2 linked regions of the Coturnix japonica genome follow. The protein of the gene in region 1 interacts with the protein of each later gene in a pairwise test. Links are inferred from orthologs where the notes say so. Each region holds a gene or a part of one and is shown in the gene's direction. Other genes may lie near its edges. The genes, in order: LHX4 and CHCHD2.

What was found.
Region 2: the proteins of LHX4 (region 1) and CHCHD2 interact in binary tests that used the Homo sapiens proteins (3 or more experiments, as listed by UniProt). The two-hybrid records come from large-scale screens. The link is inferred for Coturnix japonica from reciprocal best matches to the Homo sapiens genes LHX4 and CHCHD2.

What each region holds. Positions count from the first base shown.
Region 1 is NC_029523.1:5,730,560-5,739,577, forward strand, and holds the start of LHX4 (LIM/homeobox protein Lhx4), read left to right. Parts: upstream 1-3,669; 5' UTR 3,670-3,829; coding exon 3,830-3,905; intron 3,906-7,117; coding exon 7,118-7,289; intron 7,290-8,719; coding exon 8,720-8,922; intron 8,923-9,004; coding exon 9,005-9,018. Other genes in the region: QSOX1 (sulfhydryl oxidase 1), read left to right, coding at 1-711. UniProt on the Homo sapiens protein: May play a critical role in the development of respiratory control mechanisms and in the normal growth and maturation of the lung. Binds preferentially to methylated DNA.
Region 2 is NC_029534.1:3,737,945-3,747,045, reverse strand, and holds CHCHD2 (coiled-coil-helix-coiled-coil-helix domain-containing protein 2), read left to right. Parts: upstream 1-3,232; 5' UTR 3,233-3,334; coding exon 3,335-3,384; intron 3,385-4,105; coding exon 4,106-4,331; intron 4,332-4,919; coding exon 4,920-5,076; intron 5,077-5,441; coding exon 5,442-5,452; 3' UTR 5,453-5,672; downstream 5,673-9,101. Other genes in the region: VKORC1L1 (vitamin K epoxide reductase complex subunit 1-like protein 1), read right to left, coding at 2,828-3,021; PHKG1 (phosphorylase b kinase gamma catalytic chain, skeletal muscle/heart isoform), read left to right, coding at 7,299-7,381, 7,827-8,002, 8,329-8,383, 8,837-8,902. UniProt on the Homo sapiens protein: Transcription factor. Binds to the oxygen responsive element of COX4I2 and activates its transcription under hypoxia conditions (4% oxygen), as well as normoxia conditions (20% oxygen).

The sequences.
Region 1 (9,018 bases):
AGTGACACAGAGGACCCCCAGTTCCCCAAGCTGCAGTGGCCTCCGCCAGACATGTGTCCACATTGCCACCGGGAGGAGCAGGGCGTGCACACGTGGGATGAGGCGGCTGTGCTGAGCTTCCTCAAGGAGCACTTCTCCCCGGGCAACCTCCTCCTGGACTACGCCGTCCCCATCCCCAGGTCTGGGGAGGAGGCGGCGGCGAGTGCCAGGCTGGGCACTGCAGGCCTCCGGGAAGAGAAAGAGGAAGAGGAGGGAGAGAAGGAGACAGAGAAGCCCGACAGGGAGGGCGAGACGGGGCGGCCGGGCTCCTCGGAGCTGCGCCGTCCCAGCATCGTGCGCAGGAACCCACGGCTGCAGGCGCTGGGGGAGGACATCGTGGACCTGGACTCCTTCAGTGACCAGCACTTCAAGAGCAAGGCACTGCGGGCAGCCGGCCGGCACCGGCGGCTCAGCAAGAGGGACACCATCGCCCTGCATCACAACGCCGGCTGGGAGCGGCTGCAAGTGCCCCAGAGCCGTGAGGAAGGGGAGGAGGGGGGCTTGAGGAGGAGCCCCTGGCTGCGGGTGCTGGGCTTGGGCTTCTCCCGCCTGGACGTCAGCCTCTGCATCGCGCTCTACTTCCTCTCCTCCATGTGCCTCCTGGGCATGTACACCTTCTTCCGACTCCGCACCCGCGCACGGAAGGGCCGTTCTGGCTTCCCCGTACCATGAGAGCAAGTGGGACCCCCTGTGGGCTGCAGGACCCCCACCCACCCCCCGGGGCTGCGGGGCTCCTCCTCGCGTTGCCCAGGGCAGAGGTTTTGCTGGTTTTTTTTAGGGGGGGTTTCCCTCTGTGTGCCACATCCCTGGGGCTGTGATGCTGATGTTGGTTGGGGTCCCGGTACCCCGTTGTCCTCTGCAGGGACTGGGCAGCCCGGTCCTGTGCTGGGGCAGCCTCCTGCTTCAGGAGGCTCCTGGGGCCAGGAGCATCACGCTGGTCCCCCCCTGCTATTCCCCCTTTGCCTGTGGGGGCCCTGGGGGTGGGTTTTGTCCCCCTCCCCATCTCGTTGCTCGCTCTCTGCTTGTCTTAGTGGAATAAATTATTTTTGCCGACGGTGCTGTCGGTTCGTCCCTTATTTTGTTCTCTTGCTTCGGGATGCGTCCAGCCCCACATCCCCGGGGCTGCAGTGTCCCCAAGTGGTCGGACAACCCCTACAGCGCGGGGGAGGACGCAAGGAAAAGGAGCTGGCAATAAACCGGCCCCAGTGCTGGGGCTGCAGCTGTGCCCTGGGCAGGACGCAGGAGCGTCCCCGGGGACCGGGACCTGGGCCGGGCTCTGGCCCCGTTTCTCCCTGCCCTTTTATCCTTGTTAGGAATCATTAAGGAAAATGGTTGTTTTCCGAGGCCGCGGCCATCTGCTCCTTTGGCGCTGCCTAAATCCCCCCTGTAACAAATTCATTGGGATTACGCAGCCCTCCCCTAATCCCAGCCCTGCCCCCCGTGCGGGGATTTAAAGGGATTAGAGCCCGGCTGATAATAAACTTTATTAGGGGGGTGTGCGTGAGGGGGGTGTCAATCCGATTTGGAGCCATTTTCTTGATATCTTCACTTTGCCCAGGTGGGAGGAGAAGGGCCGGCAGCGCTACGGGCCCATCCTCCTGCCCTTGAAATAAATCGTCTGTCGCCGCTGCCTCCTTCTCCTTGATTTCCCTGGAGGGGGAGGTGCCCATCCCCAGCATCCCTCACCCCTCCCACCCAACCCCGGGCACCTCTCCTGGAAGCAGATGCTCCTCTGCACCCCCTCCCTGACCCTAAAGCAGCGGTGGGAGATGATGCGCTGGGGGTGGGGGAGGCTGCCCAGATCGCCGCTGTGGGGGGAGATTTGCGGTGCTGGGAGCTAAAGCCGCCACGCACGCAGGGAAAAAGAGAGTCCCGTAAATAGACTTTCCGTAATCCTGTTTGGTGCCGGCCCGATGCTCGCGGAAGGAGCAGCGCTGGGGACCCCCCCACACACGCCGATGGGCACCCAAAGTGGCCGCTGCGGTGGGGCAGCGCCGCGTTGTGCCGTGCTCACAGGTGGGCTGAGATGAGGGATGGGGGGGGGGCTGTGCTGCATATCCCCCCGGGGCCGCCCCTTCCCATCGCCGGTAATTACCCAAATGGCGCAGGCTGATGGGAGACAGTCGCTATTCCCTAATAGAATTTGCCCTCAAGTGCAATTTAATTTTCCTGGGCCAGCCGCCCCCCCGGCTCGCTGCCGCCCGCCGCTTCCTTTCTCCCCTCTTTCCTTTCCCACCTCGATGCAGGCAGGAGCCTCTCCGGCCATAAAATAGCGGGGCTGGGGATTGTGGTGGGGGGGACACCCTTCATGTCTGCTAAACCCCTATTAAAATTAACAGCGCCCTGCTCGGCACAACCCGCGTTCTCCAGCCGCCGGTAAGTGTCCGCTCTGTGATTTCTCCATGCAATGGGGGTGGGATGCGGGGGGTCCGGATACCTCCTTCCCACTTGGGGGGGGGGGTGAAAGGGATGGGATTATCCAACCTTGACGCCTTCTCAGGGCACCGGGGGGAATGAGCCCCAAAGCGATTCGAAGGGGAATAGATGGGCGAGGGGAGGGAGGTGCGTGAGGGAACGGAGCGGGGCGAGGATAGAGGTGATGCGTGGAAGGTGCTGCGGGGGTCATGGGGCACCAGTGCGATGCGGGGATGGGTGATGCAGATGGCGGCAGGGAGGGGGTCCGTACCGATATGCGGAATGAGAACGGAACCCCCTCGGGAGAAGGGGACGCGTTGGGGCAGAAGGATCCATCGGAGCCCTCCGGAGCGGGGGGGGCAGAGCGCCGTGACTCCGGCAGCGGCGTTTGGAGAACGGCCTGGGAAAGGGATGGGGGACAGGGATGGGGTAAGGGATGGAACTAAGGGATGGGGGTAAGGGATGGGGCTAAGGGATGGGGTAAGGGATGGGGTAAGGGATGGGGGTAAGGGATGGGGGTAAGGGATGTGGTAAGGGATGGGTACAGGGATGGGTACAGGGATGAATACAGGGATGGGTACAGGGATGGGTACAGGGATGGGTACAGGGATGAATACAGGGATGAATACAGGGATGGGTACAGGGATGGGTACAGGGATGGGTACAGGGATGCCCTCCTGCCCGCAGGTCCCATTGCTCCGTGCGGCTCCTCCCGCCCCGCAGAGCAGCCCCTGGCCGGGCAGATCCGCTGCCGGGCTGTGTCAGTGCCCGGCCCCGCTCCCCGCGGGAGATCTGGGGGGTTTCGTCGTTCCCGCGCCCCGCTCACCGGCACCGACCGGCCCCAGCCCTTCGGCATCGCCCCGCTCTGCGTTGCCCCTCTGCTCTCGGCCGCTCACGGCCCGGCTGCCCGGCGCCATGTCCCGACAGCCCCATGTCGCGATATCTCCGTCCACGCTCCGCAGGTTCCGGACTCCCGGGGCGTGGCGCGCTCAGGCCCCGCCCCTTTCATTCAAGCCACGCCCACAACCACTACGCCCCGCCCCTTTCTGCCCTCAGGCCCCGCCCCCTAAGGCGTGCGGCGTGCGGTGATTGGCGGAGAGCGGCAGGCCCCGCCCCCGGCCCCCTGCGGGCGGTGACGTCAGGCGCGCTCCCCGCAGGGCAATGAATGGGAGGCGGGCGGAGCTGCCGGCACAGCTGCGGCACCGCAACGGGCCGCAACCGGCACCGACACCGACACCGACACCGACACCGGCACCGGCACCGGGACGGCTCGGCTCCAACTGGTGCTGCTCGTGTCCGGGGCCCGGCCCGCTGCCCTCTCCCTGCCCTCTTCTCTCCCCTCTTCTCTCCCCTCCGTCGCCCCCGGGCCAATAAAATGATGCAAAGCTCAGCGCTCGCTGCCGAAGGGGCTGTCAAGGGGCTGCCGGAGATCCTCGGGGTGCCGGTACAACGTAAGGACGCGTTTCTCTTCCCCGTTCCCTCCCCGTTGTCCCCCGGTCGCGTTTCCCACCCTTTCGTTTCCCCCCGTGTTCTGCTCGGTGAAGCCGGGGGGGCCCGTCGGGGCGGTCGGGGCGGCTGTGCGTGTGCACGGGGCTGCAGCGGTGCCCCCGCTGTCGCTGTATGTCGCGACACGAGGCCCCGAGCCTCCTCCGGTCTGTCGGTGCGAACATCCATCGGTACGTGCTGCAGAGCTACAGGTGGCGAGGAGCCGGGTGCCCCCCCCGGGAGGGCCGTGAGCGTCCGGCTGTATGCGGGGACACCGTGCGGGTGTAATGGGAGGGGGGGAGGGTGCGAGCAGTGCCGGTCTCGGTTCGGTTCTATTTGTTATCGTTGTTAGCGTTTATGATTCGCATTCGTGTTTATTATCGCCGTTATCATCGATTATTGCTTTCACGGTTCCCCCTCCCCCCACACCCCGTTCGTAAACGGTTCCGGAGAAGCGGAGCGTCCCGCTGTATCGGGGGGGTCCGGTACTGGGAGGGGGCAGTGCCCCATCCGCACCCCCAGCCCGATGTGGGGCTGTCTCTCTGCTTCTGCCCGCAGCAGGGAGCAGCGAACGAGATGTTCTTCTCGTGTATTTCAGCGCAACAAATCGGTGGTGAAATAGCGGTGTTTGTGCTGCCGAAGTTCCCGTGGTGCTGCTGGATGGGGGGGTGGAGGGGCTGCATGGGGCCGCCTCTCAGTGCGGGCTGCGGGGCTCCGTGGGGACTGGGGGGGTCAGCGGAGGCACCGTGTCGGAACCCCCCCATGCTATAGGGAAACCGTGAGGTGAGAAATAGGGGCATCAGTGCGGGGCCTCTGGCCGGGATCCGGAGACAGGGAGAGGGGCTGCTATCCCCTCCTCCCCCCCACCTCCCCCCAGGTCTGCTCTATCATTATAATAATATTTTATTCTTTTTATTTGGTTTTATTTTACCCCCCCCCCCCCCATCCCCATCCCCATCACGGCTCACAGCGATGAGCTCCCTTTGCCGTTCTCGTTTCCCATCGCTGTGAGATCGCATTTCTCGGCCCCCGCACCCGCACAGCTCCTTTCTGCCTTAACCCCGACATTCTGCATCGACTTCAGCTCAGCGTTGGGGAGCCGAGAGCTGCGGGGTGGGCCTATAAACCCCCCCACGGCCAGCGCTAATTGACACCCTCATTAACAGCGCTATTTCTTTAGGGGCAGGTGGGCAAACGTGCGGCAAAGCTTTTGCCGTACCCAAAGTAATGCCTAAAGCACCTTCCCGAAATAATAATTAATAATAATAACAATAATAAACGAATGCATCGATAGGGCGATCATGAGAAATAATAATAAGAAGAAGAAATAAGAGAGAAATCGATCTCTGTAGATGGAATAAAACCAACGGGCTGTGCTGCCAACTCGCAGTGCAGTGGGGGGGAGTGGGGCCGGATTGGCCCCTGTGTGTTTATATATATGTATGTATTTATATGTATATGTGTGTGAATATATATGTGTGTGTATATATGTGTGTGTATGCATGCATATATCCACATGCATACACACATGTGTATATACATGTGCATCTGTACGTGTGTTGATCTGTGTACACACAGATGCGTGTGTATATTTATCAGATCAAATGAAATGATCCGAACTACTGGAAAACAAACCTAAACACGCCTTTATTTCAATAGCTGTTTGTCCACGTTCCGATCTCTTTCCGGAGCTGTTTGGGGCAGATATGGCGATACACACCGCGGCTGGTTCCGTTCCCGACGCTCGGAGGTGCCGCTGCCTCCAGCGCTGCGCGTCCCCGCATGGCTGCGCCGGACGCGCTCCGTTCCCCCCCCCTCTCTTTCATCCGTCCGTGGGGATAACGCAGGGGGTTCTGTCTCCCCTCGTTGCCGTGGGGGGGTCCCGTGGGATCGGCGGCGTCTCCGTTCGGTGCCGTTTGTTGATGCCCCCCCCGGGGCTGGGGGTCACCCCGCTGCCCCACCGCCGGGCCCCGCCGCCTGCACCGCCCCGCTGCGATCGGCTGCTGCGCCCTTTGCCTTCACCCCTTTTTCTTTCCCCTTTTTCCTTTCCTCTCTCCTGCCATTATCGATCTTTTTTCCCTTATCGTTGCGTTTCTTTTGCCTTTTTCCTCCTCCCCCCCCTCCCCCCGTCCTTTTTTTTTTTTCCCCCCACTTTTCCTCCCATCCCTTCTTTTCATTTCCTTTTTTCGTTCTCTTTTGCTTTCTTTCCCCCTTTTATTTCTCTTTCCTTTCCCCTTCTTCTCCCATGTTAATTTCCTCCCTTCCCTTTAGTTTCTTCCTCTCCGTCCATTCATTTCCCTTTTCCTTTTCCGTTTTTCTTTTCCTTCTTTCATTTTTTTTGCCTTTTCCCCTTTAATTTTTTTACATTTCTTTTCTTTCTTTACCCTTTTATTTCCCCCTTCTCTCTGCTTCCCTTTCCTTCCCCCGTTTCTTATTTCCTTCCCTTTATTTCGTTTATTTCCTTTTCCTCCCTTCTTCCCTTTCCCTTTTTATTTTCCTTTCTGCCTTTTTCCTTCTTTTCTTTTCTCTTATTCTCTTTCTCCTCTTTTCTTCCTTCCTTTTTCTCCCTTCTCTTTTAGTTTCCTTTTTTTTCCTCCCTTTTCTTTCACATTTTCCGTTTTCATTTCCTCTCTTCGTTTCCTTTCCCCCCTTCTTTTCCTTTTCTCTTCTCCTCCCCTTTCTTTTCTTTTTCTCTGTTCCTTTCTTTTTTTCCATTCCATTTTCTTTTCCTCTCCTTCTCCCCCTTCCTCATTTCCTTTCCATTCCCCTTTTCTTTTCTTTTGCTCTTTTCTGTTTTATTTTCTTTCCCTCTTCTCTTTTCCTTTCTTCTCCCCTTCTCTTTCTCCCTTCGTTTTTCCTCCCTCCTTCCCTTTCCTTTTACCCTTCCACCTCTCCCCCCCTTTCCATTTTCCATTCCCGTTTTCCTTTCCATTTTCCTTATTTCCTTCTCATTAACCTTCCCCCTTCCCCTACTCTTTTCCTCCCCTTTTCCTTTCTCCAACCTCTTTTCCCTCCATCACCCTTCTCCCCCTCATTCTGCCCTTCTATCCCCTCCCCGTTTTCCTCTCTCCCCCCTTCCTTCCCCCCCACTCCCCATTTCTCCATCGGGGAACGCAGGAGCGCGATGCGACTCGCGGTGCCGCCGTTGCTGAGGCCGTTCTCCCCTCCATCCCCGCAGAGATCCCCCAGTGCGCAGGGTGCAGCCAACACATCCTGGACAAGTTCATCCTGAAGGTGCTGGACCGCCACTGGCACAGCTCGTGCCTCAAGTGCGCCGATTGCCAGATGCAGTTGGCCGAGCGCTGCTTCGCCAGAGCCGGCAGCGTCTATTGCAAGGAGGATTTCTTCAAGTGAGTACCGGGGGACGCTGCCCCGTCTCTCCTCCCCGTCCCTCCTACCGCGAGTTGCGATGGAGCCGTGAAATCCCCGATGCTGCTGCTCTCTCTGCCCGGCTCCGTGTGAGGGGGCACCGCTCCACTCCTCATTTCTTTCCTCTTTTATATTTAACCTTCCCCCCCTCACCACCACCTCCCCGTATTTATTTTTATGTTTTCATTTCTTTCCCCGCTTCCTTTTTACCCCTTTTTTCCCCATCCTTTTTATATTCACTCTGTGCTATGAGATGAACCTCCCTTCTTTTCACCGCTGCTTTCCCTCCTTGAGCTCATCCATCTCCCCGGCTGCCGCATGGAAGAACCAACAAACAGCCCATTTCCCACCCCCCACCTCTGCTCTCCCCCCATCCCCAAAATGAGCTTCCAAGCACACATGCTCTAGCCCTGTTTTCTGGCAGAATTTGGGGGTTTTCCTATGGGCTGATGCCTCATCTCCCATCCTTCATCCCCACCAACCCGCAGGATGTGGCCATAATCCTGTGTGGACCTTCCCAGCTCAGCAGAATGAAGGGGCTCAGCATGTTTTTCTGTGCCCTCCCCCTCACCCCCCCAGGAGCCCAATCCCATTGCCAGCCCAGGGGCACAGCAGCGTCAGCACCACATCCCCACGTCCCACTGTCGCAGCCACTGAAAATCATGGTGTGAAATGAAGCTGATGATCTCCAAGTCACTTACGGAGCTGGCCCAAAGGTGTGGGGATCGATGATATTGGCACTGGGAGCTCAATGGTGGGCTCATGTCAGGGTCCATGTAGATCATCCTGAGCTAATCAATAGCTTAGTGCCGTCACCTTTGGTTCAGCCATTGGTGGGGCCCAGGGTCTGCTCACCTGAAGTTCCTCTTCAATATCTTTGCATGTAGAATCATTAAGTGTGGGAAAACACCCAGATCCTGAAGTCCAGCCCCAACCCACCCCACTATCGACCTCACCCCTCAGTGCTGCATCTCCACAACCCCATAGCACCTTTGGGGATGGTGACCCCAATGCTCTCTGGGCAGCCCTTTCCTTGCACGCTCCTCCATACCTGCTCTGCACACCTTTGCAGCACGCCCCTGGCAGCCCACCCTGCTGGCACAGCACAGCACCGCCACGCTGTCATTACGGCGTAAGAGCCCCATCATTCTGCATTAATCTGGGATTCATCATGAGAGCGGGGCGGTGTAATTAATTTATTTGGTATTAATGTGGATGAAATATGTACTGTCCTTGCGGGGGAAATCAGGCAGCCTATAAGCATTAGTTAAAAGAACCATTAAACTCAACCCTTCCCCAGCTCCATTAGGGGCAGCCGCTGACGAAGATGAAGCCGCGCCGCGTGAGGTGTCAGCCGTAATTAGGCTGATGGCTGGGTTAACTCTGCCCCGCTGGCCGCTTGTCCTTGCAGGCGCTTCGGGACCAAATGCACGGCGTGCCAGCAGGGCATCCCCCCCACGCAGGTGGTGCGCAAAGCCCAGGACTTCGTCTACCACCTGCACTGCTTCGCCTGCATCATCTGCAGCCGGCAGCTGGCCACCGGCGATGAGTTCTACCTGATGGAGGACGGGAGGCTGGTGTGCAAGGAGGACTATGAGACTGCCAAGCAGAACGGTAGGACCTCGAGCTCGTGTTTTGTGGCCTCTGAGATTGTGTTTTACTGCCAGCGCTGCTCACGCCACACGTTTGCTCCCAGATGACTCCGAGGCT
Region 2 (9,101 bases), on another chromosome or scaffold:
TAGCAGATTTCCCATGCTCCTCCCTCTGCGTGCTGTTAATCTTCACAACATCTTTCCTCATCCTTGTGCCAATATCAGGTTTGGCTCAGAAACAAGAGTTGGGAATAACAACAGCTTATTAGAGGAAAAAAAAAATCCTCCCCAAAGACCAGCACTGAGTTCCAAACCAACTGAGCTCAAAGAAAAAATACACCAGTTTATTCCAATTATCCTATACAATTCACGTTAACACCAATACCATGACTGTGCTTTATCCAAGTTCCATCCCCTGCTGGAGCCATCACTGGCAATGTGACCATTTTGACCTTCCAGGTCCCATTGCTCCCATTAACAAACCTGCCTTAAGTCACACGACTGAAGGAAGCTGTGCATGCACCTGTGTCACCCCTTTAACTCTGCAGAAACAAATCACACGACCAGCTGTGCAACCATCACTGAGAAAGCTCAATGAGAAGAGTCCAGAGCTACACGCTGCATACCAGAAAGCTGGAACAGCACACCTGAAATCCTATTACCCAGGTGAAGTCTGAATTTCCTCCTAGGAATGAAGTTTCTCATTGTGGCAGCAACGAGAGGCACCGCATTGGAGGGGGAGAGGAGAGCGACTGATGGAAGGGATGCTGTGGCAGCACAGAGAGTCGGGTTAATTTCTTCCACTGTTATCCTTCCTTCAAAGGTTCATAGCCTGCCCTCTCGTCTTGATTTTAAAGGAATATCCCTTTCTGGCCTGTGGCCGTACACAGCTGAAAGCACATTCCTCTCCAAATATGGTTTGACTGCACAGAACTCGCATGCTCCTTCCCCACAAACTCTTCTTACCACCTGTTTCCATTACCACCAGAGCTACCCTGACATTTGCAATACTTCAGTCGCTAAGCAGGGCTCTCCTAGCAACTGCTGGGGAGATTTCAAGTCAGATCTTTGTGGATCTTATCCCCAAACACTCAGATTGTTATTTAAAACTCCTGCACTGAAGTACTGACAGGTCTTACCACGGCATTACTAACCAATGCTATAATTACCCAGCATTATTCTCTAATTATATCTTTAGCTATTTCTGATTATAACCATTTTGCTTTTGCAAAGCGCTCGGTAAACATACATTAAATCTGCTATTTGAAATTCCCCATCTCAAGGGCACTCCTTACAGTAACAACAATCCCTGAAGGACCAAGAACAGAACAGACCACAACAGGGGGCTCAGAAACCCCCATTATCCTCCTCTCACCTCTATGGTGGCGGTGAATGACTGTGAATTACTGACAATACTCACTTGGTTTAACCTCAGCAGCCCACACCTAATGCTCATTTACAAGTTGAAGTTACCATGCGAGCGTATTGAAGTCCTCTTTCTGTTTAGATTGAAACTGCTGGTGTTTGGACCACTCTGAAGCAGCACCATGAACAACCACCTTCACAAATTAAACATCATCTGACCACAGAATGAAAGGCAAAGGCACAGCCCTCACTCAGCCACAGCAGCCTCCTTCCAGACAGCAGCGGATTCATCTCTCTGTAACTCAACACACAGAACCGATTTCAGCAGAAGGATTTCCACGTATGTTTCATCTATACAAACCAACCAGCATCCACATCAGCAGGTCACTCACATCTCTCCACCACTTTGCTATGGCAATACCTGTGTATGGAGTGGGATGACTGAGAAAGAAGAAACCTGATAAACCCACGTAACATTCAAGGATTCATCCGACTGAAGGCACAACAAATAAAAGGGAAGTGCTCACTACATCCATTTGCTGAAGGACCCCAACTCTCTCATTCTCAGCTGTCCACCCATGTACGTGCTTGTATGTCTTTGTTTGCACACAGAGCAGCCTGCATCGCTCTGCAGTCACCTCATTCCTCCAGCTGAAACACAGCTGAGGCTGTAAGGCAGCCGGACCTGCAGCACAGCGATACCCAGCAGAGCCTGCACCTACAGCAGGCTGAGCCCTGCCCTGCTATCGACCTTCAGCAAACAGCTGCCACGTTGATCACTGCAGGGAATCCCACAGGATAAGCCAAGATGTGAGCAGAGCTTTTCCTCTCTCGATGAATCCCTTCCCGTGCATCACACACACACGTATTTACACACTCCCAGGTAACAGCACGATGAACAAGCACTTTGGATTCGCCGTTAACACCTCGTACACCACACTGTGCTGTGTGGGCCCCGGGCCGACTCACACCCACCGGTGCTGCCCCATAGCCTCAATGCGGCCCTAAAACAGTGCCGGGAACGGGCAGCACAGCACGAGGCCCTCATAGAATCACAGAATGACCCGGGTTGGAAGGGACCTCAAGGATCATGTAGTTCCAACCCCCTGCCTGGCAGGGCCACCAAACATACACCTTTACTAGATCAGGTTGCCCAGGGCCCCGTCCAACCTGGCCTTGAACACCTCCAAGGACGGGGCATCCACAACCTCCCTGGGCAGCCTGTTCCAGGGCCTCACCACTCTCCTAGTGAAGAACTTCCCCCTCACATCCAACCTAAATCTTCCCTCTTTTAACTTAAATCCATTTCCCCGTGTCCTGCTATTGTCAGCTCTTTCCAAGAGTTTACTCCCCTCCTGGTTATAGGTTCCCTTCAGGTATTGAAAGGCCGCAATGAGGTCACCCCGCAACCTTCTCTTCTCCAGGCTGAAGGCCTTCATCATCATCATCATCATCATCACCACCATCACTATCATTATCATCCTCCTCCCGCTCATCCCATCTCTCCGTTCCCATCTCACCCCCCACATCTCATTCCCTCCCCCGGCCCTTCCCCTTCTCCCCGTTCCCGTCCCGTTGTGGCCGGTCTCTCTGCCGTTCTCCCCCTCACCTGGAGGTGATGGCGGCGGAGCAGCGGACCCTCTCGCTGAGGTCGCACAACGCCTGGTAGTGCAGATCTCGTCCCTTCTCCCTCTCCAGGTGACAGGCGTACAGTGACAGCAGGATCCCGGCCGCACACACGGCGGATCGAGCCACCCGCTCCCATCGCGGCACCGACACTCTGAGCAGGACGGGCGCCGCCATCTTACCCCCTCCCTCCGCCTCAGCCCGCGACGCGCGCCCGGCGCCCACCGGCAGCGCACGCGCGCCTTCACCTCATTGGCTGCCCGGGAGGACACGCCGGACGTGGCGCTTCGCGACGACGTCACGTAACGTCGGTGTGGGGAGGGGCGGGGAATTGCGCCCCCTGGTGGTCGGAGGGAGCGTTACAACCTTATGGCCGCCCCAGCGCCCGCCCCTCCGTGCGGAGGAAGTGACGCAGCGCGGCGTGTTCTGACCTTCAGTGTCTGCTCGGTTCCGCTCGTGTCCCGGTTCTCGTCCCGTCTCGTTGCCCGCCATGCCCAGGGGGGGACGCAGCCGCTCGTCCCGCGTGGCGCCGCCCGCCAGGTGAGCGTCAATGGGCGACCGAACAACCAGAGCTAATGATCGGGTCACACCGCACCACGCGGGACGTGTAGGCCGCAAAGGCCTCGCAGCCATGGAGGGGGATGACGCAGATGGGACGGGGCTGTGGAGCGGGTGGGAGATTTGATGGGGGGGTGTATATAGGGCACTATAGGGGGTGCATATAAGGCCCTACATGGGGTTTATATAAGGCCCTACATGGGATGTATATAAGGCCCTATAGGGGGTGAATATAAGGCACTATAGGGGGTGTATATAAGGCCCTACATGGGGTGTATATAAGGCCCTATAGGGGGGTGTATAAGGCCCTATAGGGGGGTGAATATAAGGCCCTATAGGGGGTGTATATAAGGCCCTATAGGGGGCGTATATAAGGCCCTATATGGGGTGTGTATAAGGCACTATAGGGGGCGTATATAAGGCCCTATATGGCGTGTATATAAAACCCTATAGGGGGTGTATATAAGGCCTATATGGGGTCTATATAAGGCCCTGTATGGGGTGTGTAGGCTGTTAGGCAGGATCTGTTGGAGAACAAGAAAGAAAAACAGTCTGCAAACGGCCCCTGCGCTGTGTGAATGACTCCCTGGAACACCACGTCCTTGCATTGTGTGTGTGTGGGGTCACACGAATTGGAGCTGCCGCTGTTTGCTCTGTGAGCTGGAGGCCGCAGCCCTTTGTGATGGTCTCTGTTTCCCCACAGCCGGGTGCCGCAGATGAGAGCAGCGCCGCCAGCTCCAGCCCCAGCACCCGCCAATGCTGTGGCCGCTCCTGCCCCAAAGCAGCCCGGGCTGATGGCACAAATGGCCACGACCGCGGCTGGGGTCGCTGTGGGTTCGGCCGTGGGACACACCATCGGACACGCCATCACCGGAGGCTTCGGGGGAGGAAGTGCCGCTGAGCCCGCGGGGCCTGATATTACCTACCAGGTAAGGAAGGCACCGCTGGGTGCTGAGCTGGGGTTAACCTGGGAGAGCACATGCAATAGGTCCAAGTAGTTGCTACAGGGTTAAAAGCTGCACAAAGCTCTGGCTGGGGATTCTAGAGCAACGTTCTTGACTCAGCCTCCAACTTCAAGTGGTTCAAAGGGTCACACATGCAGTGTATATGGATAGCAGCACACACAGCGTGTTGTTTTTATCCCCTTGTGATTCACAGGGGACTTCTATGTTCCAGGTCTGGTAATGATGAGATCTACTGCAAGATTTTTGTCCTGCAGTCACTTCTTGTGCTGCTGAGACATCAGTACAGTGCTATTGGCACATCAGTACGGTGCTATTGGCACATCAGTACGGTGCTGTTGCCTTGCTCCGGTGCAATCCAGACTTACTTCAGTGTGTGTAACCTACACAACTGCTCAGCACGCCTCATGTCAGCACTGGAACCTTTGTACTTTGGCCCATAGGTTTCCATTTAAAAAGGAACATTCTGTAACAAAAACACAGGGAAGAAGTGCACTGAGAGCAGCACGGGGTATTACAGCTCCATGGTGCTTACAGAGGTGTGTGCTGTTTTAGGAACCCCAGGCTGCTCAGCCTTCCTACCAGCAGCAGCAGCAGTTTGCTCCTTGCCAGTATGAAATGAAGCAGTTCCTGGAGTGCGCACAGAACCAGACTGACCTCAAACTGTGCGAGGGCTTCAGTGAAGTGCTGAAGCAGTGCAGGTTTGCTAATGGTAAGTAGACAGCAGTGCCAGCCCAGTGCTCTGATGGGGGAGGACAAGAAGCTTCCAAACACAGGTGTCTGGATTGCTGAAATCTTCATCATGTCAGCAAATATCAGGGGGTGAGGGGGGAGGTCTGAGCCTGTGTGTGCATTATAGCAGGATGATGGAATAGTTTGAGATGGAAGGGACCCCAAAGGGCCATCTGGTCCCACTGCCTGCAATGCACAGGGACACCCACAGCTCCATCAGTGCTCACAGCCCTCCAGCCTGACCCTGGGGGTCTGCAGGGATGGGCACCTGAGTCTAAAACCTTCTAAAATCTCTCTGGGTCTAAAACTTCCCATGATTAACTGCTGTAACTTCTTGCCTTCCAGGTTTAGCTTAAGCCTCCAGACCGAGGCTGCTGAAGACCACCTTAAAGAACTGACCTATGAATGAAAAAGCTTTGCTAATAGCCTAAAGCTCTCTGATATCTTGTTACTTTCGTGTAGTCACGCTGTTGTCTTTGTGGCCTCATTTCTGCAGTAGCCTCTACAGCTGTGATACAACTGCAAACTAATTGAGCACAAAATGGAAGTAATGATCAATAAATTGTAATGAGTTGATTGGGGCTATTTCTTAATTACTGCGTTGAATGGGAGCGAGGTGGTGTACAAATAAAGGTGTCCATGGAGGTACCTTGCCCTGGGGGGGGGTTTGGGCTGCTGGGTGAGTTGAGTTCTGAAGGTGAGCGGGCAGGAACTGATTTTAGCAGGCTGAGCACGTTCCCAGCCCTGCTGGCAGGGAGGGCTGAAGGGCTGGAGCTGCAGGCTGCCAGGAGCAGCTTTGGCTCAGGGTTTGGTGACTGACATTTCCTGCACTATTTGAACCCCGGGGGCAACTTGTGCTTATTGCAGAGTGTGGGGAGGAGGGAGGTTATGGCTGACTGCAATGCTGGGTGTGCAGCAGGTCAGCCCGCATCCCATCCTAGTTCTGACTGTGTCCTCTGTATTCAGTTTAAAGAGGCTGAGGAAATGCCATCCCTCTACATGAAAGCTCTGCGTAGCAATACACACTTCCAAGACAAAATGGCTGAAGCACCATCTTAAAGGGAACTCGCAGCCCCCAGTAACACAACTCCTTTACAAAGACCCTAAAAAATACCTTCTTGTTTCCTGAGCTGCTGCGCTGTGTCCCACCGGCTCCTCGGAGCCTCATCTCTGTGCAGCATTTCCTGGAAGAGAACGGATCAAATCAGAGCTTGGGGCCGCCCCGCCGTGGAGGGACGGGGCAGAAATAACGGGGGCAGGAATAACGGGACAGGAATAACGGGGGCAGAGATATCCACCCCCCCCCCCACCCCAACCATCCTCCGGGCCGCTGCGGCGCTGCGCGTTATTTTCAGCGCTGCTCCGCTCCTCCCCCTCCCCGCGCTCCTCCTCCCGTCCCGCTCCGTTTCCGGCCCCGATGGCGCACGGCTGAGACGGCGGCGCTGCGGGAACCGAGGGGAGGTGAGGCCGGACCGGGAGCTGAGGCCGCCGGGGGGGACGGGAGGGCGATATGGGGCGATACAGGGCGGTGCAGCTCAGCGCGCACTGAGACCCCCCTCATTCTCTCCATCCCCCATCGATGTTTTCTCTGCGCCGCGCACGTAGGATTTGAGCCCCAAATGGGGTCAGCGCTTCTCCCAAATCTCCCATCAGCTGCGTTTTATGGCATAACGTACTAATAGCACGCGTTAATCGGTGTGCTTACTAATCCAAAGCAAAGCAAGCGGTGTCGGATCGCCCCCAGCCTACAGCCAGCCCTGCAACCCAATGGGGGCTGCTGTCAACAACGAGATGTGGGGCAGCATTGCCTGCAAGGAGCAGCTTAAAAGGGAAGGAAACAAAGTGCTTCTAAAGGGAGGTTCGGGGTCTGGGCGCTGCTGGCACCCACATTGTGTTGCCCTGCCCGACCCTGCAGCTCGGCCCCAGCTGACCCCACCGTGCTGGCAGCGGCTCCAGCTCTCCCCTCCCTTCCCTTTTCATGCCATTTTCTCCTACTTTTTCTCAGCCAAAAGCCATTCGGGACGGATTTCTCATAATAATCAGGGGAAAACAATTAGTGTTAGAACCAGAAAGAACAGGGCTGGGAGGAATTGAGGTGGATCTCACAGCTCAGCGGGTCCCTGGGCAGTGCCATGGGTTGATGTTTTGGGTCCATCAGAGCTGTTCTCTCCCCAGCCCAGTTCCACCTGGCAGCACCCAGCCATGACAAAGGAGGAGGAGCTCCCGGACTGGAACACATCCAAGGAGTTCTATGAAAAATATGAGCCCAAGGAGGTTCTGGGCAGGTAAAGTTTGGTTCTGGGAAAATGTTTTGCTTGATCACAACAGGAATCTGATCTGATGGGAGCCCACAGCACCCACCCACGGGTTAAAAATAGCATGAAGAAGCACCTTCCAGCTGCACCAAGTTTGTCCCCCTGAGCCAGGAAAGCACCACGGCCCCAACGTGTGTCTGTGCTGGGTGGGGGGAGCCCAGACAAATGGTTTGGGGTGGAAGGGATCTTAAACATCATCCTGTTCCAACCCTCTGCCAACCCACGATGCCCCAACTTAGGACCCATCCCAGGAGCTCACACCGCATCCCTGTTAGTTCATAGAGTAGAAGGGACCCATAAGGATCATTGGGTCCATCTCCCAGTTGTGGGAAAACGATTCCATCCTGATCCTCCATAGCATGTCATGCAAACAGGGGTGGGAAGTACCTCATTGTTCCTGGGCTGTTCCTGGCAGGGGGGTGAGCAGCGTCGTCCGTCGGTGCATCCACAAAGTGACCAGGCAGGAATATGCGGTGAAGATCATCGACATCACAGCAGGGAACATCTCCCCCCAGGAGGTGCAGGAGCTGCGTGAGGCCACAGCCAAAGAGATCGACATCCTGCGCAAGGTCTCGGGACACCCCAACGTCAGTGAGTCGGGGCAGGAGGGTTTCTGCCACGTTTACTCTTGGAGGTTCACCCAGGACGGGCTTTGGGGTGATGGATGTCAGAGCTCTGTGGGATCCATGGTCTGGCATGAGGTGGAGAAGCTGCTCAGAGCATCCCCTGCTCTGCCTCTGCCCAGCCATCTCCCTCCTGAGCTCCTGATCAAAGCATTAATTAATTCACTTAATTAGTTAATTCACTTAGCAATTAGATCAGCAATTTTTAGGCTGTTAGTGGAAAGGAGCTCTCTGTGCATGGGGTGTGTGCTGAGGAACACACTGCACAGAGCTCACAGCTCCATTTCATTGCAGTCCAGCTGAAGGACAGCTATGAGTCCAGCACCTTCTTCTTCCTGGTGTTTGACCTGTAAGTACCAGCTCCCATTTGCCTCCATTCCTCCACATTTCCACCCTGCTTTTTTCTATGGCCCCAATGGGCAAAACAGGGCCACGACTGGGTCTTGCTTGAGGTAGGAGGGAGCCTGCTCACTCAGCCTCAGCTCTGCTCCCTCCATCAGCAGCAGCTCAGGTTTCCCCATAACCTTTGGTGGGAGCTTGGGGTTATTTATATGCCCAGCAGGACCAGGGCTGGCACAGCGCCGTAACTCGTGGCATCATGATGAACCCATTGGTCCCTTCCAAACCCTGCCTGCTCTGTGCACAGCTTTTCCTCCTCCTGCCTGATATTTTGCAAGATATCAAGGCATCTTTAACCCTTTCCTATTAGCGTGTCAGCTTGTCATTTTGTGCAGCGAGCACCAAAGGGGCAGTAACTCCTGGCAGTCCCTGGCTTGAGGCTGATTTTCCCTCCTGCACGCAGGATGAAGAGGGGGGAGCTCTTCGACTACCTCACCGAGAAGGTCACTTTAAGCGAGAAGGAAACCAGGTAAGGCTGAAGTTGTGCTGCAAAACCAAAGCCTGAGTTCCAAGCACAGTTGTGCAGCCAGCACAGTGTGCATGGACAAAACGCCACCCGGTCTGTGCCTCTGTGCTTGGGTGTCAAGGCTTTTGCACAGGGGCTGAGCTGTGCAGCCCCTATTCCTGTCCTTGTCCCCATCCCCAGGAGTGCAGTGCTAATGGGCACT